Nothobranchius furzeri: one gene and its partners. The protein of the gene in region 2 purifies or fractionates together with the protein of the main gene of each other region. This does not show direct contact. Links are inferred from orthologs where the notes say so. Each region holds a gene or a part of one and is shown on either strand. Other genes may lie near its edges.

What was found.
Region 1: the proteins of arhgef6 (region 2) and git1 purify together in Homo sapiens (affinity purification with mass spectrometry; 3 studies listed by BioGRID and IntAct, counting the BioPlex papers as one, with this or other methods). This does not show direct contact. The link is inferred for Nothobranchius furzeri from reciprocal best matches to the Homo sapiens genes ARHGEF6 and GIT1.
Region 3: the proteins of arhgef6 (region 2) and skp1 purify together in Homo sapiens (affinity purification with mass spectrometry; 3 studies listed by BioGRID and IntAct, with this or other methods). This does not show direct contact. The link is inferred for Nothobranchius furzeri from reciprocal best matches to the Homo sapiens genes ARHGEF6 and SKP1.
Region 4: the proteins of arhgef6 (region 2) and Na(+)/H(+) exchange regulatory cofactor NHE-RF2 purify together in Homo sapiens (affinity purification with mass spectrometry; 3 studies listed by BioGRID and IntAct, with this or other methods). This does not show direct contact. The link is inferred for Nothobranchius furzeri from reciprocal best matches to the Homo sapiens genes ARHGEF6 and NHERF2.

What each region holds. Positions count from the first base shown.
Region 1 is NC_091753.1:16,482,618-16,490,874, forward strand, and holds the start of git1 (ARF GTPase-activating protein GIT1), read right to left. Parts: upstream 5,479-8,257; 5' UTR 5,225-5,478; coding exon 5,173-5,224; intron 1-5,172. UniProt on the Homo sapiens protein: GTPase-activating protein for ADP ribosylation factor family members, including ARF1.
Region 2 is NC_091741.1:83,138,973-83,146,653, forward strand, and holds part of arhgef6 (rho guanine nucleotide exchange factor 6), read right to left. Parts: intron 6,408-7,681; coding exon 6,203-6,407; intron 6,025-6,202; coding exon 5,972-6,024; intron 5,709-5,971; coding exon 5,614-5,708; intron 2,366-5,613; coding exon 2,270-2,365; intron 360-2,269; coding exon 237-359; intron 1-236. UniProt on the Homo sapiens protein: Acts as a RAC1 guanine nucleotide exchange factor (GEF).
Region 3 is NC_091750.1:60,008,242-60,016,673, forward strand, and holds the start of skp1 (S-phase kinase-associated protein 1), read right to left. Parts: upstream 4,148-8,432; 5' UTR 4,003-4,147; intron 3,410-4,002; 5' UTR 3,407-3,409; coding exon 3,310-3,406; intron 3,159-3,309; coding exon 3,085-3,158; intron 1,341-3,084; coding exon 1,197-1,340; intron 1-1,196. Other genes in the region: ppp2cab (serine/threonine-protein phosphatase 2A catalytic subunit alpha isoform), read right to left, coding at 5,984-6,056, 6,141-6,259, 6,349-6,510, 6,596-6,685, 6,774-6,947, 7,030-7,239. UniProt on the Homo sapiens protein: Essential component of the SCF (SKP1-CUL1-F-box protein) ubiquitin ligase complex, which mediates the ubiquitination of proteins involved in cell cycle progression, signal transduction and transcription.
Region 4 is NC_091752.1:53,771,611-53,779,755, forward strand, and holds the start of Na(+)/H(+) exchange regulatory cofactor NHE-RF2, read right to left. Parts: upstream 5,029-8,145; 5' UTR 4,606-5,028; coding exon 4,381-4,605; intron 1-4,380.

The DNA of each region.
Region 1 (8,257 bases), on a different chromosome or scaffold from region 2:
CAAGCGACCACATGGCGACCGGTGACGGCGGTGAGAGTGGGAAGTTTGTTCCGAAGAAAGGGATAAAATCATCTGTTGTTTGGAACTGGTATGGGTTTGCTGCAACAGACATAAAACAAGAGACCCCACGCTGCAACCTTTGTCTAAAACCCGTCGCAATCAAAGGCAGCAGCACCACTAACTTGTTTCAACACCTTAAACAGAGGCATCAAGCCGAACACGAAAAATGCCAGTCTCTCCGAGATGAACAGAGCCGCAGTGACCAAGAACCAGTGGCTAAAATACAGCTAACTGTAGCCGAATCGTTCGCACAGGGGACCGCATATGAAAAGAAAGGGGCCCGGTGGACTACAATCACCGACGCGGTCGCTTTGTACATAGCAAAAGACATGGTACCCATGTATACCGTGGAGAAGACGGGGGTTTATAAATTTGATGAAAACATTGGATCCCAGGTATGAGCTACCCAGCCGAAAGTATTTCAGTGAAGTAGTCTTGCCACAGCTGTACAGAAACACACGCAAAAAAGTTGGCAGAGAACTGGAGGAGCTGTCCTTTTTTTCGGCAACTACCGACATGTGGAGCAGTTGAACTATGCAGCCGTATATGAGTTTAACGGTGCATTTCATTAACAACGTGTGGGATTTACGTAGTATTTCCCTCCAAACGTCATACTTTCCCGAGGACCACACCGGTGAACTTATCGCCAAAGGACTGAGAGACGCTCTTGACTGCTGGAACCTGTCTGAGAATCGTCTATCCTGCATGACGACTGACAGCGGGACCAACATGATTAAAGCCCTGAAGGTGAACGGATGGCCAAACCTCCAGTGCTTTGGACACAAACTACACAACGCTATCGGTAAGTCTGACAATAAGTAAAATAAAATCTTACATTTCGACAGAGCACATCAAACCACAGCCAAGTTGGATGATGCTCGTCTTTAACTACTGTAGCAATAGAAATTGCAATGATAGTTTGTGTTCCGCCCGGAGGTTTTTGAGTGTGACACTGCAGGAGCGGCAGGTAAACATAAATGCTACCAGTTTGACACTGGAAAGTTGAATAAAGATTTCCTGTTGAGAGGGTAAAGTTCAAAGTTCAGTTTGGAATTGATTGTCATTAAATTGAAATAGTTTTGTATTATGAAAATGGATTAATTTGGTTTAAAAATGTATTTTATTCTACTGCAAACTGAGCCTCCAAACGCTCACTTTCACCCCCCTCCCCTCAGGTTCAGTTTAGCTTATTTAAATTTGCTTCTGAAACTGAAAATTGTATTTCAACCTGGAGTAATTCAAATTCAGTTCCTAATGGCACAGAATTCTGCTCATATTAATCATGTGTCCTGTTGAATACTCTTTCTTCTAAATTTATTAATAGTATTTGTGCTTATTTATCACTGTGCTGCTGCAAAGTTCTGCCCATGGATTAAAACATAAAAATAATATACACCAAACATATATTCAGTGTAACGACTGCAGGTGTTACTATGTTCATACATAAGTAGACATACAGAAGAAATCATTTTTAGGTGGATGTAGTTGTTTATTCAAGTCCCCAATAGCGATGCATGTCTTTGTGTTTTATTCTTTATCATACAGAGAATGGTGTTAAGGATACCCGCATAGACCGAGCCATTGGAGTTTGCAAGAAGATAGTTGCTGCTTTTTCCTACAGTTGGAAGAAAAGAAGAGAGCTGGGTTTGGCTCAGTCAGAGCTGAGCCTTCCCCCTCATCAGCTTATAGTAGAATCTCCAACCAGGTGGGGCTCCCGCCAAAAGATGATCGAGCGATTACTGGAACAGGAGAAGGCTATTGCCCGTGTCCTGGGGTCTGAAGTTAAAAGCCGCCATCTCTTGCCCTCTTGGCAAGACATCGAGGTTTTGGAGTGAGTAAACAAGGCGGTTAAAGCACTCCAAGATTTTACAGATGCTTTATCAGGGGAAATGTATGTTAGTGTCTCATACATCAAGCCTGTTATCCATCTGTTCAAAACAAGTCTTTTGCAGCCTGAGGACAACGACACAGAGCTTACCAAAACAATCAAAAGCAACATACTGGGATACCTTGTTAACAAATACAGTGATCCTGTCAAAGATGAACTCCTGGACATGGCCTCTCTGATGGATCCAAGATTCCGGACATCCTACATCGACCCAGACAAGGTGGAGCAAATCAAAAGAAGAGCTGTCAGTGAACTTCTGTCTTTCCCCACTGACAAAAGCACACCACAGCCTGGTCCAGTTGTGCAGGTGGACCAAGAGGCAAGGCCTCAGCCAAATCCCAAGAGGAAAAAGACCTTAGCAACTTTCTTCAAGAAGAGTGTGCCAACCCCTGGCCCTGACCAGTCGGAAGAGGCTAAAATAGAGACTGAACTTGCAACTTATATGCTCATCCCAGAGGTAGATCCTGACACTGATCCACTGCAATGGTGGAAGAGCAACAAATCAAACTTCTCGAGGCTCAGTCACCTGGCCAAGAAATACCTCAGTCTCCCTGCAACAAGTGCCCCATCTGAGAGGCTATTCAGTGCGGCAGGATGAGTTGTCAAATGCAGCCGAGCTTGCCTCAAGCCAGAGGCAGTGGACAGGCTGATTTTCCTTGCCAAAAATATATAAATGTTATTGACCCAAACTTAAGCACAGATCTCATGTTCAGCAGCTCAATCAAAATGTGATTTTTCTCTCCTGTTTCTACATTCAGGGACACAAATCGTTTGTTAAAGTTATTTTTTTAACAAAAGTTGGCACTTTTCAGTTGGAGTTGAATATTGTTTATTTTGCAATTTTTGTACTCTTAATTTTTGTTTAAATTAGTATTTTACCCAAGAAAGAAGTTTTGCACTTATGTTTTTATTTAAAATTATATGCAAAGTAAATCTTTTACCGTAAATGCAAGTTAAAGACAGATAATTTTTTTTCTCTGTTTTTGGATTGAAAAGTATGATGCATTTATCCCTGTTAGTTGTCGCACTGTTTGGGTTGGTTTAGTTTTACCTGTATTTGAATGTATTGTTAATGTTTGAGAAAATGGTGTTACTCTAATGGGAATGTTTGTCACATTTCACTCTAGACAACAGAGTATGACTCAAAACACACCTGGCACTTTGATTCCAAGAGGGTTTTCAGTTATTCGCCATTCATCCCTGAAGAGCATTACACGTTTTGCTTTTGATTAAATAAAAGCAAAAGTAGCTTCAAGTGGTCTGCTGTTTGTACTTGTTGGTGTCCTTTTCTTGGGGGGGGGGGGGGGGGGGGGTGTAATCGGAAAAAATCGGAAATCGAATTAAAGAAAATAAAATCGGAGATTTTATTTTTTGGGCGTATCACCCTGCCCTAAAAGAAAGTAAATCTGTGTTTTGTGATCAGCTTAATTTGACATGAACACGACAAACACGCTTTCTTGACAATCTTTGTGAGTAAAAAAACGTGTAGAAATAAAAGCGAACAGCGTGTTATTAGGGAAATAGCGAGCAAGCGGCGTTGATGCAGGATTGCGCATGCGCCGTGAGCGGTTCTGATACTTTTTGGGTTGCAGCTGCTCGCAGCTCCGCTTCAACAGTGCCATACCCTCACGAGGGACGAGCAAAATTTTAAACACGCCAGAAGTCCGTGCGACCTCACGACTGCTGATCGGCAGCTGGTCACGTGGTGTTAGGCCCTGTCCACACGTAGCCGGGGATCTGCCAAAACGTAGATATTTTTCTGCGTTTTGGCCTGTCATCCACACGAAAACGGAGCTTTTTCACACGAAAACTGATCTTTTTAAAAACTCCGGCCAAAGTGAAGATCTGCGTTTTCTCCGTTGTGGGTGTCTGCGTGTGGACGGACAAAACCGGAGTTTTAAGGTCCGCAACGTCACTTTCCGCGACAAAAAATGCTGACATCACGTGTGCGACCTGTGTTTACACTAGCCGACAGCATGGATGCCCTCAGAGCTGCGCTCTGTCACTACCCGATCCATCAATTGTCCAAGCGCTTTTTACTTGTTTGTTTTTGCAAGCAGAATTACACCTCCTTGCAGAAGACCACAGACGAAGGACGAGGTTAAGAACGGGGGAAGTACTGCCGCCTACAGGTCTGGCATGTCCTTAACAAAGTATTTATCCGGGTACGTGTGGACAGAGTTTGTTTTTAAAATGCAGTGGTGTGGATGCGAGTTTTTGGAGGGGAGGATATTCGATTTTAAAAAACCCCGGCTACGTGTGGACTAGGCCTTAATCGCCTCTCGTAACCCCCTGTACACTACACGACGCTCGGCGCAAAACTCGCCCCGATGTCGTGGATTCTCGCACGAGTGGAAAATCGGCTCAAAAAAGTGACAAAGTCGCACAGTGTACGCCCGGCTTAACAGGAAGGGGTGGGGAACTCCAAAGTTTCGAGGCACAGATACAAAAAGCCCTCAAACATGCCTTAGGGATGGTGAGGAGGAGTTTATCTGCAGACCTAAGAGCACCAGAGGGGTGGTAGAAATGGAGGAGTTCACTTAGATAGGGAGGGACCTGACTTCAAACATTTGATTGCAAGCAGTAGGACTTTGCAGTTAATCCTGATCAGAACGGGAGTGATGTGCTGTCTTCTGTCAGCTCCAGTCAGAAACCTGCTGCTGGTCTGGAAAGAGAAGCTTTGCTGATGCCACATAAACAGGAGTTGGAGTGATCAGACCTTCTGATGCAACAGGGACCAGTTAGGCTGAAGAACCGTAATGATGCTCCTAAAAGTGACAAAACCTCATCCGGATGACGCTGACTCATGATAACCAAACCACTCGGGGGTCAGAGTTGTTTTACTGGTCCCCTTGCCTAAGGGACACTGCTGCGACACTCATGCAAACTTTTATCACGTCTCAATTTTCACGACACGACTTTAATCTCAAACTCCGGATCAGCTTGGCTGGAGTGGCTAGCAGCTTAAGCTAAGCTAACAACAAAGGCAAACTCTATTAGCCACCACCAGTAACCTGCTACAGATGTGTGTTATCGTCCTTATAAACAGGTACAGGGCTTTTAACCGCGGTGTAGCGGCGTTCAGCTATTTTTCACGGTTTGTCTGGGGCCTAGTTGACGACACTCCCGGCCGTTTCCTGCTCTGAAAGCCCACAGTGGCAGCATCCCCGGCCCCGTTAGCCCTCCCCTGGCATTGTTCCGTTTTTATTTACCCCGCTGCCTACCTGGAGCACTGCAATCAGCGCACACTTCTGTCCTTTGAAGCTTTCTTGACATATCGGAAGTGGCCGCAACAGTCAGCTGAAGTCTGCGCCGATGTGAAAACCAGAGACGGATGTCTGCCCTCCAGCCGCTGCGGTCCTATAGTCTCCGGAAGCCGGGTGTCGTGGTCAGCTTTCCCAGCCGGTTGATTGCTGGATCTCCCCCCACCCCACAGCCCAGCCTGGCTCAGAGAGAACTGGTTCTTCCGAACATCGTTAATCCTTAATATAGGGAACGCTGTGTGTTGTTTTATTGCCTGTATTTATGAATTTGTGCTTTTATTGTGAAAAGATTAAACAGGAAGTAAGAAACCTTGACCTCAGGGAGCCCAGCGCTATGAGGGAGCATAACTCTTCTGTTTTGGTGTATTTGAAACATGAGCCGAAGCTTCGGCTGCAAACAGATCGTTCGTAGTTCGGTGCGCACTGCGCAGCAAAAAGCTCAGGTGAAACGCAGCTCCGGTGTGAGTCGTTTATTCCGCTCCTGGAACCTACGGGACACACACGTTAACGTCACAGGGAGACTGCAGCTCTACCGTTGGCTGGAGGATGTGTTCAGAGTGCCTCTGTGCGGTGTTCAGAGACGAGAAAATACGTCGTTTTTACGGTGCTCTGAAAACTTCACGAAGACGACGTTCTGAAGGGATTTTCAACTGGTTTTTCGGCGTTGGAAGTTTAAAAACGGAGATTTGAACGCCGTTTTACAACAAAACCTGCTCAAAAGTGAACGGATTTCGATCCAATCGGATTGCCATACACGAATGCACGAGCACCTGCAGCTGTTTGTTCATAAACCAAACAAACTCGCGGTGCTGAGGCGGAGAAACGGATTAGCTTAGCAGGAAGTCAACTCCGCACGAACATGCTTGTGAGCGGAAACGGCCCGGTGAGTCGTATTAGTATCTCTTTAGAGTAAAAAGTTGCATCAGATTAGCTTTACTTAAATTTCCTTTTTACTTCTGAAACTTTCAAAATAAGTGTCTAAAATTTCATTTTAAATAAATACATAATTCCACTTTACGGTAATGCAGAAGCGGGGTTAGGAGGTGGCCACTTGGGCTCAAGCCCCGGATGTTTTCTGAAAAGCCCCAAACCTAAATTAGACTTTTGAAGGGGAAAAAAAAAATCACTGTGTGTTTTTCAATATTAAGGCACCAAGTCATTGCCTTGCTAGGCCTGGCGCCTTTCTTTTGAGGACACTGTTCTTCCTTGGTCAAAGAAAACGATTAAAATGGAACAGACTTACTCCACAGGAGGTGAAGTTATATTTTTGTATAACAAGCCTTTTACTTTTTAAATTGTGTATATACAGGGGCACAGATAGGATTTTCAAACTGGGGGGGGGGGGGGATGTTCCAATATACCCTCCCCCAAACACATGCGCGCGCGCACACACACACACACACTATTGCAAGCACCTTAACTAGAGCTCAGTTTGTGTAATTTCCTCCAATGGTTTACGTAAAAACTATTGTATACGCGTCTGAAGCCATTATGCAGTGGAACGCTGGCAACACAGCTCTGCCTGATCAACACTATAAATGATAAATGATCCGCACTTGTATAGCGCCTCTCAGAGTAAGGACTCCAAAGTGCTTTACACTACAGTGTATCATTCATCCATTCACACACTGATGGTGATGAGCTATGATGTAGCCACAGCTGCCCTGGGGCACACTGACAGAGGCGCTCCACTATTTAATTCAGTCATTTGTTATTCTTCCAATTACTAACCAAAACCTCATGCTTTATGCAAAACATTAAATGATTTTCAGCATACCAATCTTTACAGAAAACATGAAAGCCCTAAAAAACTGCACATAAAATACATTTAAAAAACAATATTCACTTATCACTTAGAGCAGTGGTTCCCAAACTTTTCAGCCTGACCAACAGATGTTCCTTCGTATTTTTACGTTATTTAGATATTTTCATTATGTGTGGAAAGTTTTTATTTATATATACATATTTAAATCTCTCTTAAAATTGTATATTTTAATTTTTTTATGATTATGTGGCACACTTGACTTCCATACAAAACACATCGGCATCTGCCTCTTTTTTACGGCTTTTTTTTTTACGTTGTCGCTACATCTGTCACGTTAGCGGTGTTTTACCATCGTTTATACATCCATCACGTCCCAGAGAAGGTTAAACCAACATCAGACCCAACGTTTGGAGCTTGTAAACTCAACACACCTCTCGTGCAGCACCAGCTGTCTGATGCTGCAGCATCCCGGCTGGATGAGTGAATTTCTTCATCAGAGTCAATATTCTATTCTCTCCTCCTTGAAACGTCACCTTATCGTGGTGGAGGAGTTTGAGTGCCCTAATGATCCTAGGAGCTATGTTGTCTGGGGCACTTAGTGCCCCTGGTAGGGTCTCCCATGACAAATTGGACTTAGGTGAAGGGTGAGACAAAGAACGGTTCGAAGGATCTTTCATGGCGGTTAAAACGAAGAGTCGGAGTACCCGGCCCGGAGGGTTACCGGGGTCCCACCCTGGAGCCAGGCCTGGGGTTGGGGCCCGTGAGCGAGCGCCTGGTGGCCGGGCTTTCGCCCATGGGGCCCGGCCGGGCCCAGCCCGAACCGGATACATGGGCTCGTCCAACTGTGGACCCACCACCCGCAGGAGGAACATGAAGGGTCCGGTGCAATGCGAATCGGGTGGCAGACCAAGGCGGGAGCCTTGGCGGTCCAATCCCCGGACAAGAAAACTAGTCTTTGGGACATGGAACGTCACCTCGCTGGCGGGGAAGGAGCCGGAGCTTGTGGCAGAGGTTGAGCGGTACCGGCTAGATATAGTCGGACTCACCTCGACACATTGCATTGGCTCTGGAACCCGAGACCTGGAGAGGGGTTGGACACTCTACTTTGCTGGAGTTGCTCCGGGTGAGAGGCGGAGGGCTGGGGTTGGCTTTTTGTTAGCCCCGAGACTCTCTGCCTGTGTGTTGGGGTTTACCCCGGGGGACAAGAGGGTAGCTTCCTTGCGCCTTCGGGTCGGGGAACGGGTCCTGACTGTTGTTTGTGCTTATGGGCCAAATATCAGT
Region 2 (7,681 bases):
CAGAGCTTTTAAAGAAGGCAATGCTGACACCTAGTGGATAGAAGCAACACTACAACACAACAGAAAGCCACATGCCCCCTTAATGCCAACTAAAACTATTTAGAAATATTTTAGGCAGGTGTCAAGAGACTAACTTGCATTATTAATCTACATTTTGACACCAGGTTAAATGTCATGACTGTTCTCTGGTGAGATTATAATCCAGTTAGACGTGCTGTTTTGTGAGGAAGTCTGACTTTTGATTGGTGAGGATGCAGACAGCTGAGGGGTGGCTGGAACAGTAGCTCAGGTACAGATTCTTGATCTGATTCATCAGGTTTAAATAACAGGCGGCCACTCGCTGCTGGCTCTCTGGGACTCTGCAGAGTAAAAAAAAAAAAACAAAGAATGAGGAGACGAAAAGTATTCACAGCATCTGACTGACGGTTTATTGACTTTTACTTAAAAGCAACACTAAAGAGTCTTAAGACTTTAGGCTATTGCTTCCAAACTGGTTTCAGTGGTTCTTCAGCCACAACCTTGAGCAGCTTCACATTGGACAGCACTCAGTAGAAACTGCATTTAACAGTTTTGTGCTGCGGGTACGATTTTTCTTTATGAGGAACTTGCCCTGAGTTTCACTGTGTTCTTTAAACCTCATTTCAGGTATGTGTGTTAACTTGTCAACACAGGGGCGGGTAGGTGCAAAAGTGGACTTGCTTTATGGCAATAGCTATTTAATAGGGATGCACCGAAAATTCGGGCACCAAAAGTTTTCGGCCGAAAATTTTCATTTCGGTGCACCACTACGATTTACTGTGCTGGTAGCTAACATACAGGCTAGCAGTTAGCTTTTAATGTTCACCAATGGTCAATAAAAATCACATGTAGAAGAAATGGAAGAATTTTTTTTTTTTTTGTTGGCATCATGGCAAAGTCTAGAAGCAAAAGAGAGCAATGTCTTATGAGATGAAGCAAAGAGCTAAAACCAGAGTGAACATCGGCACGGCCTACACTTATTAGGGAGCTGAAGGAGGCTACAAAATCACAGCATGATGGTGACTTGGCTTTTTTGCCACTGAACTAATATTTGTTGTCCAACTAATTGAGCTTTTTACTTCATGATATATTCTCATATCAGTTGGCTCATGTTAGCATTAGCACATTGAAGACAAAGAACTCTTTCCTTTAATAAATCAGAAGAACTCTATTTTTAATAAAGCTAATCAAACAAAGTGTTAGTCCAATAATAAATGTGAACCAATCTGTGAAATGACAATGTTATGATCAGTAGTATGTTAATAAGTAATATAACTTTAAACTAGCTGCACTAGACATTCTCATCCACGTAATGCTTAAAGTCACATGACACATTTCCTTTTTCAGATCCAATCAGAACCTTCCAGATCTGACGCGAGGCGTGGTTTTGTCGGTGCTTGGTAAATCCCCTCTTGTTGTCCCTTTTTTGATTCGACCGTAAATCAAAACATCCAAATTATAAAACTATGCCCACGTCATCTTAAATTCATTTAAGCATTCTAGAGAAGTTGTCAGAATGGCCAATCCGTAACTTTTCTCTTAAAGCCGAAAGAACCTAACGACAAGCTGGATTAAATCTCTTGCATGTTCCACCTGCTGCAACGGTTCCTTTCGGAATAAAAGCTGAACCATCGACCCCTTTTTGGGTCTCGCTAGATACCAAAAAACTGTCGTGACCTGGGAGTATCTCAAGACAGGACTGGTCGGCAGCCGCTGCTGTGCTACAGGCTTCGGCTCCAGAAAGGTCCAAGCTGGACCTCTACACCTCCTAATCTAGACGGGGACTTCCGCTGGGTATGTAGACCGACAGAATGGCGTCTCAATGTGTGTTATAATCTCCAGACCAAAGCTTAGAGCGAAACATCATCTTCACTCCCATCAGAACTAGTCATTTCTCCAGATTTGCTGGTTCTGAACAACACTCTACACACCATCCATCTTGCCTCATTCACACCGAGATCCATCCATCACACAGAGTGTTGAGTGTTTAAAGTTAGTCTAGTTTTAATTTGTTTAGAAATAAATCTTTAAACTTTTAAACCTGACTCTCTTTCTTTTGTCTCTGAGTTAATACGAAGTGGTTACATAATCCCTGCAATAAAAAGTTCCAATCTTCTGGTTTAAGTAATCCAAAGGTCCATAAAATTGATTTCATATTTCCTATGGAATCTCACATTTTATGGTTCATTAAATAATATGTAAATGTAATCGTTACAATTCATTAGGTTGATCTTCGACTTTCACAACTTACTTGGTACATTCTTCCAGAGCTAAACACAGGCCCTGTTGGAAGGTGAGGATCTCCTCCAGGTTTCCACACAAGGTGCTGCTGTCTGCACTGCTTAATCTAAACATACAAGATGCAATCATCAGAAAAGAAAAGTATGAACTACTTAAAATATATTCAACCATGTGATGCATACAGTCATGGTCAAAAGGCAGTTGATCCTTTCCCATTCTCAGATCTTACAGATCACAGTCCTTCAGATCAAAGCAACCTCTGATGAACACCATCATTTTTGTAGCTTTATGTCTACAAAAATGATGGTAAAACCACTTTCAGCAGGTTGTCACATCTCTGAAGATTAACGGTCAAAGTTATTTAATTATTACAACACAGCTTCAGCTCACTGGGGTTTCTGTAGTTCCATGGCAGGAATCTGTGAGCCTGGGGCCCAGGTTTAACTCAGCCATTGCAGTACAGCATTGTTTTTTCTTTACAAAAAGGGTGTGTATTGGCTAGAATCTGGCATTACGATATATATCAGGGGAGACAATACGATATATTGTGATACTAAAAGCCAGATGATATTTACAATTTTAAGACGTAATATAATTGGAAAACGCCACCAAGGCACACTCGATGTTATTGAAAGATCTTGTTTCGCCAGAACGAACGCAGTAAAACTGCTTCCACCTAGCAGTCAGAGTTTGAAGTGCACCACACAAATATTGTGCATATAAATTCAATATGCTATAATGAATATAAATTCATCAATATGCTGATGCTGATTTCATGACCAAATTTCAACCCAGCTTTTACTGCAGATGCAAACATTAGAATGTCACAGAGGAGTTTATAATTGACAAAATGTCTGCAAGGGTCTGATGCCTTTAAGTTTAAGTTCTAATCATTAACTCTCCACCGCCATGCTTCATTGACACGTGTATGCTGAGAGGTTAATTTTATTTTTAGTCATAATCTGATCAGATGCAACTATGCATGTTTATAAGCTGTGCCACTTTGTTGCTTTAAAGGTGCATTATGTAGAAATGAAGTAAAAATGACATCCTGTGGTAAAATCAGGTTACTGCAACTACTTTAAATTACTCTGGAGCTTTTTGCTGGCCATCGCAAATGACAATTGCCAGTGCTGCAGTATTAGCTCGCAGGAGACACGGCAACCCCACACTCACTGATGGTAAACAGTAGTTACGTCCCTCCTTCCTTTGTTTTGAAAGGAGAAAAACTGACAATCCCCACAGCTGGATATGAAATATGTTTCAGTATAACCTTCCTTACAAAATTACTGAAACATCAGACTCTTTTGAGATTTTCTCACTGTAAAATTCTCACTATACTCTTACATACTGCATCTTTGTGAGAGGAGTGATGCTTTTTTTCCAGTCAAAACTTCCCAACAGCTTAAACTAACCATGTTACTCCATGGGGCCATTTGCAGCACTCAGATTCATTTAGCACATTTTATGCATTTCTGTTGAGGAACTTTGTTTCTCCAGTAGGATGGTGCTGTAGATTCACACAGTTCAACATTTTGATGTGTATTGTTACTAGGGGTGTAACGGTACGCTAAAATCGTATTTGGTTTGGTCCCGTGTTTTAAAGAGTTTGGTTCAATTCATTTTTGGTATATTATATTTATTTATTTAATATCTGAAGCAGCTCCTATAGTGACCAGAACCAGGTGTCATCACAGGCTGCTGATCTTGCATGATGTTTTTAATTATTTCACAGGTTATTTATGCAGCTATGAGTGTCACCACAGACAGACAAGTGTGTTTGACTGTTGATGCTCCTGTCTTTATTTCTGCAGCGAGCCTTAAAAACTCGCCTCACACCGCCCAGAGTTTCTTCTTTAAAACTTGTTTTAAATAACGAGCTTCCTTCGTGCCGTATTTGTTGTTGTAGGATGAAACCTTCAGCAGATGTGTTTGCTTACATTTTAGCCACTGTGTGCCTGCAGTGTGAGAGAAGGCAGGAGCGACACAACGCTCCGTTCAGCATCTCTACAGGCTCCACAGCAGCAGCGACAGCCAGCTGGTTTGATCCGCTCTGAAAGGTGTTGTTCAGAATTTGCAGATCACATTTTTTAAATGGAGATCGGGCACATACAGCCATCATGCGTCACTCAATACAGCGTCAGTGCGGAAACTCGCCTAGGAACCTTTATCTGCTGCACTTAAATCACGCAAATAAAAATTCATTATTTAGCGGAAAAAATAAACCGAAACAGTTCGCACGTGGACCAAATCAAACAGGCCGAACCAAAACGGTTCAACACCTCCCGTGAACCGTTACACCCCTAATTGTTACTCATTGACAAAGTCAAATACGTTTTTTGTTACATGAAGACTTTGGATGATTTTTGCCCTTGCTTTGAAAGGTTTGGACACTCTGGATTTAAACCTTAATTTACCCACCACAAACTTTAACTTTTAACATACTAACGCCTGTAGAGTTGCTTTGTGTGTGACCCCACTGACACTAACACTGAAAGAACTTGCTGTGGTTGAACTGAGATTAAACATAAATGTGTAACACCAGAAAATTATTAGGTTATACTATGATGAGAAACCACTTTATTCATGTAAATACTGAGTTTAAAGCAGATGTACATAACAAAATATTTACGATGACCGTAGTAGATTAATTAAATGCTTTTTAAAAAATGAATTTGAGTGATCCACCCAGCTTTAGGACTGGATTTAAACACACATCAAATATTGCTTCGCTACAACTTGGTCATTTGTCAGTGACTCTGCATTGAAACCAATTGAGCAAAAACACAATCAAGGTTTTAGATAGGAAACCACCCTTTTACAACATCTATAAAGTTTAAATTTTTTTTTTTTGTACTTTCGAAATTTTAATTTAAAAATTCTTGCCTCATTTACAAATCTCTCACAGGCCAAGCCCCAGCACCTTTAACAGATATTTTTAAATGGCAAAGACCCATCTGAGAGACTAGGTCAGTGATTAGAGGGGATGGCAAGATTAATTTCAGGAAAACCCTGTTTGCACAGAATACGCTCACTCAGGGGATGCAGTGAGTTGACAGAAGAGACAGCTCCTCTTTCAATTCCTTTAAAAGCAAATTAAAGTCTCTGTAGTATTTCTTTCTTGATTTAGTGTAATTTGCTTATTTTGCTAATGTTTTAACCATGCTTTGTATTCCATCATGTTTCATCTATAAGGTAATGTGTGAGTGCCTATGGGACTACGGATGGAAACTAGCTCTTAGCTAACTCTGGCATATTTACATTTTATGTACGTTCAGCATCAATATACTTTGTTCCATTCAAATAAACAAATCAGATTTAAATAAATAAAACATCTTCAGCTTCTAATCTTACTTGTCGCTGGCTTGCAGAGGTCGCAGGTAACAACTCAACACTGTTTGCAGTTCTTTAACAAACTCCCGCTCATGCTCCAGGATGTCTTGTACCACCTGGAGTAAAGCAACACAACAAAGAAAATACAAAATAGCATAAAAAAGGATGTCCTGAATGTAGGGTAGAAAAATAAGACAAACAATAACCGTCTGTCTTTGAAATGTATTTTCCTTTTTTAAAAGACTTACAATCATACAATGTCACTAGTATGGTTTTAATATTTTGCATTATTTATTTTACCAGAGATTGAACTGCTGAAGGCCATAAAGTCAACAATTGCCATGAAGTTAAGGTATTTTATCCGTACGGTATAACGTACCACGTTGTAGTAGTTCTTGGTCAGCTGAGTTGCTTTAGGAGACAAAGACTTTTCTGGAAATCAAACACATGATCAGAAGAATTTCAAAAAACTGATTCAAAACTAACGTAGGATCCATTTTAACAGTAAGATAAAGTAGTTTTAATTATATTTAATGTAATCATCATTTTAGGACCTCTGCCACCATGAGATTGAGTTATCATACGACCCAGACAGGACACTCCAACTCACCACAGGGTTTGATCTCTCGGACGTAGTTACTGGGAAACCAGCCTGTCCTGCCATTGAGCGTGCCCTCCCACCATCCTCCCTCCTCCTGCCGCGTCACCAGGATCATGTCACCTTTACCGAACGACAGCTCATCCTCGTTGTTCTGCTTGAAGTTGAATCGAGCCTTCACCACCAGCTGCCCACCACCCCCATTCTCAGACATTTCCTGTAACGGGAGTCATCCGCGTCAACCAGTAAAACAAATACAAATCATATGTTGGATTAATTTTTCTGTGTGAAATCCCGCTTTAGATGAGTGGTTTCCAATCTGGGGTCCATGATCCCCGAGGAGGTCCCCACAAGGTTGCAGGGGGGTCCCAACAATTATGTCTGTGTTGAGGTAGCAAAGTTACCACGATTGTATTTGTAAAAACTACATGTATAAAATCCCAAAAACCCACGCAAATGTTTAATAGTTCAGTTCATTTGTGATTGTAATATTTTTTAAGAAAACAAGTGCTTTTTAAGTAAAATAAGGTTGTATTTGGTGATATTTAATGTTTTTAGCATGCTTTATAAAAAATACTCAAGATAGGCCAGATGTTTGCATGCAGGTAAAGTGGATGTCATTCTTTTTCATAATGAGTAGGTAAACGTCTCTTAAAAGAATAAAATTAAATGTGGGCAACAGTGGCTCAGTCTGTCGCTGTTGTCGTGTCCTTGGGCAAGACACTTGCCTGCTGATGGTGGTCGGAAGGACCGGTGGCGCCTGTGTACAGCACACTCGCCTCTGTCAGTGCGTCTCGGGGCAGCTGTGGCTACATCGTAGCTCATCACCACCAACGTGTGAATGACTGATTGTGTTGTAAAGTGCCTTGGGGGGGTTCCAGGACTCAAGAAGGTGCTATATCAAGTACAGGTTAAATACAGACCATTTCCCATTTAGCCATGAAGCTGTAAAGCCTGTATAGAGGCGATTAGATGATTTTAACACGATAACGGGGTCTAGAAAGGTCCAAATAACAATAATAAAAAGGGCATTTTCAGATGCCTTTCCTTGTAAGTTATAAACACATTATTTTAGGCTCTGTTTCTGATCAGCCTCTGTTTACAAAAATGTCCTAAAGGATTGATTTGCTAAAGGCTAGTCAGCCAGGACCACAGTGTATTGCTGCTGTCTGAAAACTGTTGCAATCTTGAAATTTCTATGGCAATTTGTGAGCTTGAACAGTCGCTCCTCCTTGAACCGTAACCTTATCGTGGTGGAGGAGTTTGAGTGCCCTAATGATCGAAGGAGCTATGTTGTCTGGGGCACTTTGTGCCTCTGGTAGGGTCTCCCATGACAAATTGGTCTTAGGTGAAGGGTGAGACAAAAACGGTTCAGAGGATCTTTCATGGATGTAAATTCAAAGAGTCGGAGTACCCGGCCCGGAGGGTTACCGGGGTCCCACCCTGGAGCCAGGCCTGGGGTTGGGGCCTGTGAGTGAGCGCCTGGTGGCC
Region 3 (8,432 bases), on a different chromosome or scaffold from region 2:
AGATTTATGATGCAGTCCGATATAATCCAATAGTGTTTTTGGGCCGATAATGAATTGCTTCTGATATCGGAATGGGACATCCCTAGACAGAATACTAGTGATGCACCGATATCATATATCGGCGATATGAAATTTTTTGTGCCGATACCGATATTGGTCGATATCGATATACTGGCATTAATGCTTCTAAAATCAGCAGATTTTGTATAGAATGAAAATTATAAATTATTAAAGCTGGATTTACATTATTATGTACACACACCACACACATTTATGGTTCTGAAATGATTTCATTCACTGTTCACAAGACTAAATTACACATCACCCTCTGAAACAGGCAAACAAATGGGGACAAGATGGAAAAATATCGGTTGTTAATATTGGCCTGGTTTTCTTTATTGAACAGATATGTTAAAAAATAGCTAACATCAGCCGATACCGTTATATTGTCCATCCCTACAGAATACCCAATTACACAAAACTTGACAAAAAAAATTTTTTTTAAAATAATCATCAAACGAGGACGTTTGAAGTAACGGGTGTAAATAAAGATCTGGATCGGAGTTAAGAGAAAACAAGCACTTATATCGTTTGAAGAACATATTCATGGGGCTTTGGGACATTCTGACGTGTTTCTGTGTAACACATCAGTTTTTATCTTACTTCTTGTAGACAGCTTCCTGAAGAGCCTCAGTTTGAAGAAAGTGTTTACGTTTTAACTAATGATGTGCTAAAGCTAATCCAAACACAAGTGGATCGCTAACGTCTCCAAGCTCCTCTTATAAACTACATTTCAAATCAGTTCACATGAATAATTATAGCTGTACAATACAAAATAAGTTGCCTTTTTAAACACTTATTTTATTTATAGTAATGTTTACAGTGAGCGCATTTTAGGCTGAGTGTTATGGAGAGCTGCGGCGAAGAGGTCGGCTGCCAATCAGAATTTGTAGCAGAACTATAAACTATGTGTAATATTTGCAAAAACAACAACTTTTCTGGTTTTGCCTGACCCAAACTTCTAATAATGACCTAAAAACAGAGAGGACATTTTTTCCAGTTGATTCAACCTCAAGAGTTAAGAATTCTGCTGAGGGGTGAAAATCTGTTTAAGGGGTGCGGGAAAAGCATCAATTTCAATGTAGCTAACGCATTTAGCAGCAAAATAAGAATAATGTTTAATGAAACATATTTACCAGAATGAGTTCAAACAAGGTGCCTTGGTCCACTTTGAGGAACTCCTGGTCCCAGACGGGAATGTCGTCCGTCCTTTTCTCTTTGTTCTCATCATCCTCGGGAGGAGGAGGATCATCTTTGTGATGAGTGCACCACTGAATCACCTAAAGGGGAAAACATGTTTATTCTTAACTGAAACTACATAATTTTATACATTCGTGTTAAGATTTACGCAGACAGAAACATGTGCACAACATTCCCCCGTGATGAAGGAATTTTGAGATCTTCTGCTGAGGTGCATCTACACGTACAGTTTTACCTTTATCTGGATTAAAGGAGCGTGTCAGTTGATTTGGCAGGACAGAACATAACAAAGACAGACTGAGCATCCTCTTAATAAGTTATATAGGGCTGCCATGATTAGTCGACTCGTCACAACATCAACAAACAAAATACTCGACTACTAATTTAATAGTGGATGCATTATTTATTCTGTGACCATTAATTTTAATCTCGCCTGCTGCGGCACATTCGGCGGTTGCTTCCTGACTTTCTGCTCAATGCACATGCGCATTAGTCCCCATCCGGGTCAGTGGCTGTTTTCAGCTCCGAGGCGCATTCGCAGTAGTGGCCATCCAGATCAGCCTTCGTCACCGGAGAAAGAAGACATAGCGAGTCGGCAACATAGCTCAAAAGTTTTGGAGTATTATACATAGACTAAGGAAAGCACATAGTGCAAACTCTGCAAAGGGAAACTCTCCTTTCACGGGAGCACATCGGCGATGCATGAGCACCTTACAAGGAAGCACGTCATGGCAGAGAATAAAGAGTCGCCTCTCTAAGTTTACCTCTTTAGCTGCTAGCATCAACAGAGAGTTACTTGTAGTTATAGGTGTAGCAACAGCAGTAGCGGTGGCTATTTTTATTACCATTAGATCACGTTTGTATGTCACGTATTTTTGCTCCAATTACAAACGATAATGATTTCATCCCGCTACGCTACAGTGTTAATAAAAATGCTCCTCTTCAATGGACGAGTTGGTTACGTGAACACCTCAGCAAGCTAACGTCCTGACCATGTTGGTCATGAGACTCCTGTCCATGGTCGGTGATCGAGGTTTCAAAAAGATGATCAAGGATACCACGACAACTACCTACCAGGCTGATGCCCATTCACCAGCATGATGGAAAAGAAATACGAAACAACCTTTAAGGTGTGCGCGCGTGTTCAAGTCTTAGTCTCTTTCTCTCTGGACACAAATAATTATTGGAATTTAATGTGTTTTATGATCAAATAAAAAGGTTGCTGACTGAGCAATCAGGAACCTAATATTGGTGCATAATACAGTTTACATGTGTTGAATTTTAATCTACTTTGTTTTATAACAGAATTATTAATTTGGTAAATAAACTAAATTTAATATCTTTACAATAAAGCAGACCCTCAAAGCTGTCGATGATCCCCTGACTGCTGACGGGTGTACCAGCCATGCTACAGAGGCGCACCTTGATGTGCCCTGCTATTTCCTGAGTTAAGATTAGAATACATTTTGCGAACACAAGTAATTTTTTGTAGACAATTTATTTTTGGTTTTAGGTGCCTACCTCCATTTGACTGTAGCATTTGTATTAATAAGTTATGAAGTTAATTAAAAGTTTATTATTAGATGGCACATAACGGATTAAACTTCAAACTAGAAGCTAATGATGGGTATATTAGAGCAGCCTGGTGCAATAACCTATAGTTTTTTTTTTGAATGACACGATTAGTCAACTATTGCGGTATACCCAACTGTCACGGTGAAATCCAGAAATCAAATAAAAACCAATCACTTTTCTCCCATCGACTGATGTGAAACAAATCTGATGACTCTGCTGTTGTCATTGTGACAGCTGTGCGTTCTGTACCTTCTTCAGGATAGCCGCGTTCACATTAGGAAGGGGAACTGGGTCATCATCTCCTTCATCGTCCATTCCCAAGTCTGACCACACACACAAAAAAAAAAAACGTTAAAATTCAGCCTCAACCCAAACGATCTTTACTGTTAATTAAAAAAACTGATAACTCTTTTTACGTCAGTTATAAACTCACAAAATCAAGTTTGAACGTTTGAAATGAACAGAACATTTTACCTTCCAACATGGTCTTGATGGTGACGGATTGTTTGGCTATCTCAACGTCTACCTCGAAAATTTCCCCATCAGAACTCTGTAGTTTTATCGTGGGCATTTTCTGGAATGAACAATAATATTCATTCAGTGCATTTACTGCTAATTTTGCGACAATAGCAGACGTAATCCGCGACGAATTGTCTCAATTACCAAACTAAGCTAGCAAACAACAAGCTAACGAAAAGCTAACATACAATTAGCTCTTTGTATAAACAAAAGCTATTGATTTGATAAATAATACCTATCATAAGACTTGCCAGATGCACTTGTGTGTTCATACTGAATAAATACCACCTGTTGTAAATCTAATTTATTTGAGAAGCGCTAATGCCCAAGCTAACGATGACACAAGCTACAAGACGGAAATGCTAAAGTTAGCTAGTTTCCGTGTGCTTAAAAGAAAAATACATTGAAAGATGTTCGCTATTACAAATAATGGTAAACAAATACATGTTAATCACAGGCGAGACAATCAATTGTGTCTAAAATGTATGTCACAAAGCTTAAATCTTGACTCTTCGTTTCGCCAGCTCTTTGCTGTCAGCTAGGCCTCTTTGCTACATCATCGAGGCGTTTCAAATTGACGCATAAACCTGACGTGAAAATCTATTTAAACCTAACTTTATCAGGTCACCAGAACATGAAGCTACATACCGTGATTATTTAACAAAAACTCAAAGGTTATATATCCTTAGGAGTCCGTTGGAAGGCCTAGACTTTAAGTGACGAACAGCGGCTAAAAGCCTCTGGATCAACCTTTTCCGCTGTATGGCAATCCGTTGTAACATATAATCATGTTAATGCCCTACAATTTTTTTATTTGTTCTAAACAAAACAGCATTTTCATTAATTACATTTAAAATGTCTGTACAAGTTAAACCGTGATATTATTTAATTCTTGCAGAATACATTATAAAGTAAGGTGATCAAAACGTGCCAAACATAAGCTATTAAACGTAAATACGTATATGTCGATGGTAAATACCAGTTGTCTTGTCCCACAGTGTATATTTAGTAAGGTAGATACTTAACAACACTTAAAAGCAAGCAAGTGCCGATTTCCTTTAAACAACCCCAGTACAATTCCGATTTTATATGATAAATTGGCTTCCCTTAACAACATGTGCTAATGAAGGGAGCACAGCAGGGCCGAGCTCAAATCGTGGCGGTGGCTACCAGTCAGCATCGCTTCTTGTTTACCTAGCTCAGATTTTATTTTGATTGTCTCATCTCGAACCACTTTGATTTTAAATCAGAATTTGTGTTATAAAAAGACAAATACTTTGTCTACATGGAACAAATAAGCTCTTTTGTGATAACAGTGACTTGTCTTGTGCTATTCTATTTTTTTTAATAAAAATAAAATGATCACTTTCTATGTGTATCTTTCATTATAAATCTCTCTGTCAGTGTACCAATAACAATTTAAAGTACATGACTCCTTTTGACAACAGACTACACAAATCATTCATTTATTGTATATGGCATGGTGGTGCGGTAAGAAAAATTTATGTCATATATCAAATACAAAATAATATTTAAAAATATTAAATTTAAATATATTTATTTTTGAAAATGTGTAAGTCTAATTTATTAGTTACACTTTGTGAAGAGATAACAGGAAGCACTAGGGTCAGTGCCTGCGATTGTCTATGTGTGGTGTCGTGCCTATTCACAACCACAGGGTGGCGTATTTCCCCTTTTTTCCGGCAGATGCGACTTGTTTCCAGCAGGATCCAGGCTGGCTTAGATTGCTCTGGAAAAACTTAATAAAATTGCATTTATGCGCCTTTTATTTGAAATAACACAATTCTCAACATTAAGTTTGCTTGTTTTGGGCAATTGATACTTCTGTTCTCAATACAATCTAATATTATGGAGCACAATAATTTAAATTCACATTTAAATAAATGTATTTTTTATGTCTTCGCCTTGCTGTGTCAGTGTAATTACAACTGGCCAGAGAAATCCAAATATAACTAGACTTTTTACAAGAATGAAGAATAACCAAAAACACAATTCAAGAAGTCATCTTTATTATTCTAGTAGGTTATTATAGAGTCTGAAGCTAAAAGGAAGCAGGTGAGTTGATGAACACTCCATCTTTTCTATAAACCAAGCCATCTGACTGCATGAGAAGGGATTTTCCTAAAACATACACAGGTCAAAAAAAACTGAAGGTTTACATGCAATTTAAAAATAAACAACAAAAAAACTATCAATATCGTGAAATCGTATTAATCTTTTTGACATATTTAACATTTCTTTAACTGTACAAAAGTGCAAACAAATCACATTCAAATCTCAAAAACCATGGTCTGCAGTAGCAAATTAGTCTTGGACTTTGGTGCCGTCAACCCAGCTCCATATGTACAGGAGGAGGAGCCGAGACATCCAGGATGTTCTATTTTGTCATTTCAGATACAATAAATATTTAAGTGATCATGGCACACACCTTTTGGTCCGTTTATAGACACATTTGCTTTTGCGAAATGCTTTAACTAGATTGGATAAACACAACGTGCAACACTGCAGCCTCTCAGGCCTCCATCACGTTGTTTTCAGTTCAAAGTCAGATAGGTTGGTGGTTCTGGACAGGACCGGACCGGACCGTGCGCGGGTCGAGACTGCAGGTTTACAAGAAGTAGTCTGGGGTGCGGCGAGTTACATGGGGCTCTCCTCTGCGAGGCGCTGGATCAAACTGCAAGCTGAGGAGGAACATCAGGAAGAAAAAAAATCACAACTTATTCTAAGATTTCTTTGTCCACTCGTGATGAAATTCGCCTGCTTACAAAGAGTATTTGAGGGTGTCGTCTAGCTCCATGATGGCTGCCTGGTTTCCACAGCGATAGCAGTAGTTAGGAGCACTAAAAATGGTCACCACGTTCCTCTCATGGCACCAGTTGTAGCCCTGAGGTAAGCAGATGTAATATTAACACGCATCTGAACTTAGCGGCACTGCTTCTTTGTTTTTAATCATCTTTGGACACAAAGACAAACCTCCATGACCAGCTGATGGGCGCGGGACACCAGCGTGAGGCGGTTGGCGTGGTTGAACGTTTCAGAGATGTCCTGACCAAATGTGTAGCCAGCTCCTCGGGGAGAGATGCCCCAGCCGCCGCGGTCGTCGGGGTCTGACCACAGCAGGTCGCACATGGGACCCTGCGTGACAACGAGAATGGTCACAAACGTTTTTATCTTTATTGTTTCGTTGCTGATCTGCACCACATTTAACGTCTTTCTTTACCTCGTGCGGCACTTCCTGTAAACGATCCAGAGCTCTGATGTGATCCAGCGTGTCTATAGACGGTGATAAGCCCCCGTGGAGGCAGAAAATCTGAGGAAAAAAAATCGATAATTATAACAAATTATGATGCTTTTCAAAGAAACGTCAAGTTCGGTCTTTTTTATTACGCTCCTCTCACCTGAGAGTCTACCAGCGCAGTGAGGGGGAGGTAATCGAACAAGTCTGTGAAGTATTTCCAAACGTTTGCGTTTCCGTATTTCCTTAAGCACTCGTCGTAGAAGCCGTAGACTTGTGTGATCTGTCTGCTCTCGTGGTTCCCTCTGAGGATCGTGATGCGCTCCCGGAAGCGAACCTGAAACACAAACATCTGTTTACGTCGCGTTTTTCACCCCAAAGAGGAAAAAAAAACTGTTTTAAATGTCTGACAAAGTCACCTTAAGAGCTACAAGTAATGTGACGGTTTCTACAGAGTAGTACCCTCGGTCCACATAGTCCCCCATGAACAGGTAGTTTGTGTCCGGCGATTTCCCACCGATCTTGAACAGCTCCATGAGGTCGTGGAACTGGCCGTGCACGTCGCCACACACGGTCACTGGACATCTCACCTCCTGGACGTTGGACTCTTTGGTCAGGATCTCCTTTGCCTGCAGAAGGAAAGTTGATTAGAGAATTAAAACTTGCACAAGCCAGGCAAAGGCCACCATTTTCTTTTTGTCTTCATTCAGGCACAGCCCACTTCCTGCTAGCGCTTACAACGGCCTCCATCACGTCTCATCAGGATGCTGCACACGGAGCGGGGCTGATAGCATTTTGATGCAGCGACTAGCTTCCTGTGGGGCGACCCTGTGGTGCCCGGACGGGCAGCTCTGGCTGCACGGCAACGTTTCTAAAAATCCATAAATGTGATCCTCCGAAGATTAAAAGGCAAGTGCAGAATAAATTTTAGTGGATTTGCATAAAAGTTTTGGTTCACTTTGATGTTAATTCACATCGGATCAGACAAATTAGATTAACGTGTTAAATTCAGAAAAATAAATGTGATTCTGGATTATTAAAGCATTTTATTTTTACCCATAAATCATCAGAGGGGCCTGACTGGCTGCTGCAGAGCATGACTCAGCATGTGGCCTACAGCCAGAGCCAGAGGAAGTCACCATTAAAATAAGACAGGATTTACCACCAGTTGGCTTGATTGGTAACCTCCAGCTGTGACTGCTTTTATGTTTCCGATTGTTTTACCTTCATGGTAAATCACCCGGAATTTGGCCGTTTGCTGAGTATTTTTGTGAGCTGTGTGACCGTGGATCCCTTCACAAACCAGAGAACGAGTGTGTTCCTTGGCTGGTGGCCAGCTGATGGGATAGAAACCCAGACGGGCCAGGATGGCGCTGCAGCGTTGCACAACGTTGACCTACATTGCATCCAAACTCCACGTGTCCCGACCGGCGTGCGGCAGGAGGCTTCGGGGGCCACACTGAGCCACAAATCTCTAAAGCAAACAGAGGCACTAAGCCAGAGAAGAATATTCTAGGTGTCTGGATGAAAGTGGAACACAAACACACAGGACCCATCTTTGAATGGATGAGGCGACAGGAGATAAAGTGGATCTGTCTGGGTTCCTCATCCTAGTCAAACCGTAGACATATCTACGTCTACGAGTTCACGTCGGTGTCATGGCTCATGATGCCGTCAGCACGAAATGGAACATTAGAAAGGGATCTTTGACGCTGCCGTAGTCATGAAGACGAGCTTTAATTAAGTCCAACGTATCAGGTTCTGAGCCAAACTCGTCCATCAACACCTGCTGGAAACCCTCGGGTCGTTTCAGCTTACGGAG
Region 4 (8,145 bases), on a different chromosome or scaffold from region 2:
GGAGAATGAGGGACAAATGTGTCCGTGTTAAAAAGTCTCTGAAATACAAAATACAATATAAACACAATAGGGAGCCTAAGCCCCATCTACTTCCGGACCACGGGTCCCAGGAAGAAACGAAAAAATGAATGCAAGTTAATGGGGCTAAAAACGCTATTTTCTAATACATTTGTTTTGTGCCATGGATTTCACATATGATGTCCATGAATTTTAAAGACGCATTTTGATACAAAGAACGCGCTTATTTTCAAACGACGGGAAACGCTTTTTAGGTTTTGTGTAAAAATAAAACCAGGACTGCAAATGCGCTTCATGAAAGTGACGTCATCGAACCAGACACGGAGAAAACAGAGGGAAAATAGCTGTAAGTTTAGCAAACTTAAAATCCTTCCTTCAGGAGGGAAAAACCACCATAATTCTGGCCATTTGGTAAGTAGCAGCTACGCTAGAGGACAGGAGATTATGTGCCGACGTCTGGTTTGTAGTCGTGCTAATTAGAAAGTTTTACAAGCTGATGAATCTCAAAGTACGTGACAGGCGTGGTCTTTTAGCCCCATTGACTTGCATTCATCTTTTCGCTTATCCGGGGACCCATGAGTCGACCGGAAAGGGAGGAGACTTGCCATGGAACCTTGCCCTAATGTCTTGTCCCGCCCTGGTTGCCTAGGAGATACTTCATCAGGAACTGCCAAAACGTGTTCCAATGTTCATGGCGTGTGTTATCCGTTTGTTAGCCGTTTAGCTAGCTGAGCAAGGATACACGGGAGGTGTCTTGTAGCCTTGCCTCAGTCAAAAATTTCCCTGAACACACCTCTGTATTTTGAAAAGGATGGCAGATCAGAAGCAGGCAGCTACTTCGGGGGCAAGTTTCATGTTTAAATGTAAGTCAACTAATTTAAAATGTTTTTTTTTTTAGATCCAAAGAAGCCGCGGTCACGTGATGCAAGTCTGTTCAATTTAACCGTTTTCTTTTGACCAATGAAGGACAGTGTCCTCGTAAGCAAGGCGCCTGGCCTCGCAAGACATCGCCACGCAAGGCCAGGCGCCTTGACATTGAGAAACACGCTTAGACTTCCTACAGAAAGTGCACTATCTTGGACCGGATACATAGCAGGAAATTCCAGAACAGCGCTACGCCCTCTGCTGTCCTGGTGGGGAATCACTTTGCAACACTCCCCAGGCAGCGGAGAAGTCTGAGAGCAAAACGTCTCTGTTAGTGCGTGCGTGTCTCTCCCCTGTGGAGCTGACGGAGAAGCATAAACTAGGCTTAAGTGAAGATCATAGAGTATCCCTCAATGGTTCACGTGACAGTATTTGTTAAGCTCTCATTCACTTGTTAATTCAACACATTACCAGCTAAGTGGCCTAATGGTATGAGTGTCCACCCTCGGACTGGGAGATCGGGGTTCAAATCCCAGTCAGGTCATACCAAAGACTTTGAAAAAATGGGACCCAATGCTTGACACTCAGCATTAAGGTGTTGGATTGGGGGATTAAACCACCAAATAGTTCCCGAATATGGCTGTGTCTGCAGCTCACCACTCCCCCTGTGTGACAACTATTGGGACCTTGACTTTGACATCTGCAGTGGTCTTTACTATTTCTGTGAGAGAAAAGCTCTGGCGCTCCTGTTTCAGGTAGTAGAAATTACCCGGAGGAGTAGAGGCCAGATAACGGAAGGATTTGGAGTCTTACTCGTCGTTAGTATTCATGATATTTGGACATCTCACCTGTGATTAGCTAACAGCAACATGACTCTAACACTGACACTGATCTGTCATCTCCACAAATAACACAAGACTCACGGAGTTCTGCCATGTTGTGGATTTGCTAATGCTAATGGTTAACTTCTACTAGCTGGGACACGGTCTGCTCTCTCCTGGACGCTAAACCAACAAGAACTTCCCCGTCATGAGGACCTGACCATGATCTGAGCGTTTCCCTGTCTGTTATCTAATTTCACATTCAGCCTGCTTGTGAAAGTCAGAGTGACCGACCGTAATTTAAAAAGAACAATCTAAAACGGTTTCTCAGTGAACTTGCTCTTTAACTTTTATACATGTTAATAACATATGAAACTATGTTATTGTCAGTATTATATGTTCTGTCAGGGAGACCCAGCCTGCATTGTGCATTATGTAGAAAAAATGAAGTTAAAAATGAAATTCTGGGGTAAAATTTGGTGCAACCATTTTCAACAACTCTGGAGCGTTTTGCTAGCCATTGCCACATTACAATTGTAGCGCTGCAGTATTACTCGCAGGAGACACGGCAACCCCACACTCACTGATGGTAAACAGTAGTCCCTCCTTCCTTTGTTTTGAGAGGAGAAAAACTGACAATCCCAGCATCCAGCTAATATATTTCACTATAACCTTCCTTCTAAAATGACAGAAACATTAAACTCTTTTGGGATTTTCTCACTGTAAAATTCTCACTATATTCTTACATGCTGCACCTTTAACAATGTAAGAACTAGATTATGGTTGTTGTTTTAAATGTCCCAGCTGTCAGGCCCTTGTTTAAGTATGAGGTGACAAAACAAACCTGCAACATGATCAAACTTCAGCTCTTTATGGTGCTTTTAGGGCTCAAATCCAGCAGGAGTCAGACAGTTCCAGCTGACGTAACCACTAACAGTGATGTAAAGGTTTCTAAATAAACGTTCACATTAGCTGTTGTTGTGAGATTTGGGAGATTAAAGGTGTTTTAAGTTGGCAGTGAAACGTTTTGGTTTAAATAGTCCCAGCCATTAGCTCATGAATCTGGGAGGATTTAAAATAATAGACTAAAGATGTTCATGGGTATAGCAACAACAGGCTAAAACACAACAGTTTAGACGAAAAAATAATTAAGAGAGGAGCTAGATTGTCTGGTGATCAGAAACTCGGAATTCTGATTTTTTTATATTGATCTGTAAGCGGCGTCAACAATAAAACATCTGACATTTTTCCTGGTCTGTGAACTCACCAGACAACTGCTCATCGATGTTAGTAACTGATGTTACATGTGCAAGGTTTTAGCTCCGGAATGAACGCTTTAAAGTGACAGTGTGTATTTTTTCTGGCCATAGGGGGCAGTAGATACCTAAATCGTTGTAAGAAAGCTGTATTTTTGTGTTGGAATAAGACCTTACCAACGGAAGCCCATTAGGGTCTAAAAGCCCTGGGGAGTGCAAACTTTAGCAAAATAAGCACATCAGACTCTCTTTCATCACTGGCAACAATTGAAGAGGTAAACGTGTAAAACAACATATTTAACAATGACAAAAGTTTTGTAACGGTTTGTTACAAATCAGTAGATGCATTTTGTCCTCATGGGCACCCGTAGAAGGAAACATAGCATCTAATATGGCGTCGCCCAGAGACTTAGACCCGCTCCCATTTATTTTAGACCAGATTTTTATGGTTAGATGTTACGACGCTGCCAATATTGTTCAACAACTGGGCTTCATTTCATTCATTTTCAACTACATTTTGATGGATGTTTCCAGAAATTAATGGTAAAACTACACATTGTCTCTTTAATGTTAGTTAGATGAATCTGAATGGGCCAAACCAGCATCAGCAAGTCTGAGCTGTTACAAGAGTCAGAAATCGGTTTCGGCACTCTAAAACAAAATCAGTGTCCCAAATTCCAACAAAAAACAAACGTGCATAAACTCATGTTGAGTATATGCTTGTGGAGAAAAATTATATCAAACCAATCAAAGGTTTGTCCAATCATATGCCAAAATTTAGTGGATTAAATAGTTGACCCCCACGCCCCACCCCCCTCTCTCTCTCATCTGTTACTGTTTCCCACCATCAGACCACCATAGTTGTGAGAAAACACAACATTTGAGGTCAGGCCTCAATGACAGTTAGTGGATGAGAGGAATGAAGTCGAAAACTGAATCAGATTTTTAACTCAACTGAATTTAAAATGAATTACACAGATAAATGCAAATCTATAAGAACCATTACCCATCAGAAGAGTGATGAAACAAAAGTAAAAACCTCCTGCTGCTCTGTGACCTGACAGATAAGACAGTTTAACTTGGTTTGGGGCAGAGATATTTGATAGTTGCAGATCATTTTGGGCTCAGACAGAACAAAGTCTGCAGCTGAAGCGTCTGAGTGTTTATCAGCCTCAACAATATGCCAATATGCTGAAAGTCTGTAAATTCAATGCGACAGATTAGATTAGTGTGGCGGGGGCGGGTTTTGCGCACTTTGTGTGTGTGTGTGTGTGTGTGTGTGTGTGTGTGTGTGTGTGTGTGTGTGTGTGTGTGTGTGTGTGTGTGTGTGTGTGTGTGTGTGTGTGACCTGTTGATGCACCCTCGCAGGCAGACATGTAACTCGACTCTAATCATAAATATGAAAGCACACATCCACTCGCCTGGTGGTGTGTCTCCTTCTCCACGTTGACGCCGTTCACGGCGACCACCCGGTCCCCGGCGCGCAGCCCCGACGCCTCTGCGGGGGAGTTGGGCTCCACTTGGCGGATGAACTGTCCGCTCTTCCCCTTCTCTCCGTGCAGGTGAAAGCCATACCCGTTCTCCCCTTTATTCATCACACACAGCCGCGGTTTCCGCTCGTTGGCCATTTGCTCTTCTTCTCGCATCGAACCTTCCTGCAGACCCGAGTAGAGTAAAAATGCGGTGAAAATGCGCGAAAAGAAGAGGTGGGAGTTCAGGACAACGGGTGCGGGGCTAAACTTCCAGCGTGCATCCCGACTGGCCTCGTGCGCGCCCTCACATCACAAACACAACTCCAGATCCAACAACGGAAAAGTTTAAATTCCCTAAAAGCTACGAACTCCAGTCAACTGGACCGTGTGTCCGGCTCTGAGGCACGCTGCTCCAAAACGGACCCAAACCACCGGGGGCTCCAGAACCTTCGGACCGGTGCGCTCTGCAGACTGTAAAAGTGAAAATGGTTACTGGTCAAACTCCCTGCGTTTATCCAAAACATTCGTCCGGAGAGCACATCCTTCTGCAGCTTCAGCGCCGATCTTTGCGCACGATGAGCGGCTGGTGAGCAACAGCACCACCTTCCTCTGGAAGAGAAACAAATAGAAAGTGTAAGTGATGCACTGATGCCCCCCGGCGGCAGGAAACAGTCAGTGATCAGGGTTAGTTATGATAAATGATCAACTTTTAAATAAATTTAAAAAAAAAGTTCTTTAAAATATTTCCTGTCTATTTCATTGTTGGTGCCTAATATCAGGCAATGTGGTGACTTTTAACTTCAAAATGATACATCTCACAATAACGGGAAACGTATATTGGCTCGATTAGGGTACAGTTATGGTAACATCTCAGATTTATAACTTTTAATCACATTTGCAACCTTTTGTCTTAGAAATCTGACTTTTAAAGTCATAAATATAATTTTTAATAACTGTCAAGGTTGTAATTATGGTGTTATTTTTAGTCATAGTTATGACTTTGATCTTGTAATTATGATTTCCAAAGTTACAATAATTACTAAACTTCATATTTACAAGTTTGAAAGCAGGAAAGATGATTTTGAAATCACCAAAATGATCCTTCAGATCTTTTAAATTGGAACTCTGAAAAATATTAAGAACAATCTACATCAGTGGTTCGTCCTCCACTGCCTCGACTCGACTGCTTCAGTGGTGGTGCTGCTGATGGCTCGTGTCTCATGCTTATCCTCTACGCCAAGGCAACTCAGTGATCAAGCAGGGATCTAACCCCTGCATCCAGCTTCCACTGGGAAGCACCTCACTCTCACTCTCCAACCAGTCCACTCCATACTTGGAGAGCTTTCTCCAGGGCTCTTCCCGGGGAATTGTTAAGTCCAACAGCAAAACTTGCTTACTGGCCTCAGACACAAGAACAGCGTCTGGTCTGAGGGAGGTGACAGCAGTATGACTGGGGAACTTCGGCTGATCCATCAAGATCTCCCAGTATCTGGCAGAGATCTTTTGACTGGAGCTGCTTACTCCCCAGCTCTGGTGAAGGTTGTAGTTTGGTTAGAATGGCAGGCAGGTAAACAGAGAATAGTAAAATTTGATTGTGTCTAGGCAAATAAGTTACTGATTAGTTCCAGGAGGGTAAATTAAAAGTGGGTTTCTATTGTATTAAAACAACTCAGATCTCATCATTGTTCTAGCAGTTCATCTAAAGGCTTTTAAACACCATTTGAACTTTGAAACTGCAGAAATTTTTACTTTACATGAAAATTCAGATGAAAATATAAAATCCTCATCAGTACAGATAAACATTCTCCATTCACACCTGTGGTCTGTGTTTCTCCAAACTGAGGGCAATCAAAGAGCTTTTTACTTCAGATAAGATATTAATTATTTATAACAAAGAATGCTGTTTGATTTAGTGTTAAAATTATTTCTTTAAAAGTCAGAATTTTATTTTTGTTTTCTTAAAGAGACAATGTGTAGCTTTTACCATTAATCTCTAGAAATACAAAATGTTGTTGAAAATCAATAAAATGAAGCCCAGTTGTTGAAAAATATTGGCACCTTTGTAAACTATAACCAAAAAAATCGTGTCTAAAATACATGGGAGCGAGTCTAAGGGTGTTTCTCAATGCCAAGGAACCTTGCCTTGATGTCTTGGCCCCGCCCCGGTTGCCTAGGAGATACATCATCAAGAGCCGTGTTCCAATGTTCATGTTCTACCGAGGTGTGTGTTCTACGTTTGTTTGCCGTTTAGCTAGCTGAGCAAGGATACGCGGGAGGTGTCTTGTAGCCTAGCCTTGGTCAAAAATTACCCACAATACACCGCGGCATTTTCAAAACGATGGCGTATCAGAAGTCGGCAGCTACTTTGGGGACAATTTTCAAGTTTAAAAGTACGTCAGCTAATTTAAAATGTTTTTTTTAGATCCAAAGAAGTTATCTGTGGTTGGTTAGTTGCTTAGTTGCAGTTCGGTGGCTAGCGGGTAGTATCTCACTTATATTTTTTATTTAACAAATGAATACACAATTTAAAAAGTAAAAGGCTCGTTATATATTTATGTTGAAACTAATACGTATAAAATATAACTTTATCTCCAGTGTCACGTGACGTTACATGACCGCCGTGGAAGCCGCGGTCATGTGATGCAAGTCTGTTCCATTTATCCGTTTTCTTTGACCAAGGAAGGACAGTGTCCTCGTAAGCAAGGCGCCTGGCCTCGCAAGACATCGCCTCACAAGACCAGGTGTCTTGACATTGAGAAACACCCTAAGTCTCTGGGCGACGCCATATTAGATGACACGTTTCCTTTTATGGGAGCCCATGAGAACAAAATGCATTTACTGATTTGTAACAAAATGGCGCAAAACTTTCATCATTCTTAATTGTTGTTTTGAACATTTACCTCTTCACTTCACATAAATGCTTAAAAATCCCACCATAGTGCAGCCGTGGCTCTCTGGTCTTTGGATACTGGATGTTTGGCTTGACAATGGAATCACCAATTATAGATACAGATTACTGTTTAAGTGCTCACATTTCACAACAGTACACCAATTATTATGCCTTCTCCAAGTCAGGGATGAGGTCCTGCCCCAAATGGAGGAGTTTAATTATCTTGGGGTCTTGTTCACGAGTGAGGGAAAGCTGGAGCGTGAGATCGACAGGCGGGTTGGTGCTGCATCTGCAGTGATGCGGGTGTTGTACCGGTCTGTCGTGGTGAAGAGAGAGCTGAGTCAGAAGGCGAAGCTCTCGATTTACCGGTCGATCTACGTTCCTACCCTCACCTATGGTCATGAGCTTTGGGTAGTGACCGAAAGAATGAGATCGCAGATACAAGCGGACAAAATGAGTTTTCTCTGCAGGGTGTCTGGGCTCTTCCTTAGAGATAGGGAGGGGCTTGGAGTAGACCTGCTGCTCCTCCACATCGAGAGAAGCCAGTTGAGGTGGGTTGGGCATCTGGTTGGGATGCCTCCTTGGTGAGGTTTTCCGTGCACGTCCAACCGGGCTCAAAGGGGGCCTCGCCCGGGGAGTAATACCATGCAGAACCGCCACTGCCTCCATGTCATCACTCAGATCCTCCTCCCTGCAGAAAAGAGGAACTTTCAACATCTGCTGTTGCATTTTTTTTAAATAAAAATCAAAGACCTATGATTAATTAATCAAAACTTACTTGAAACAAATCTCCTGTTTTGCTGTAGCAGAGTGAACATCTGCTA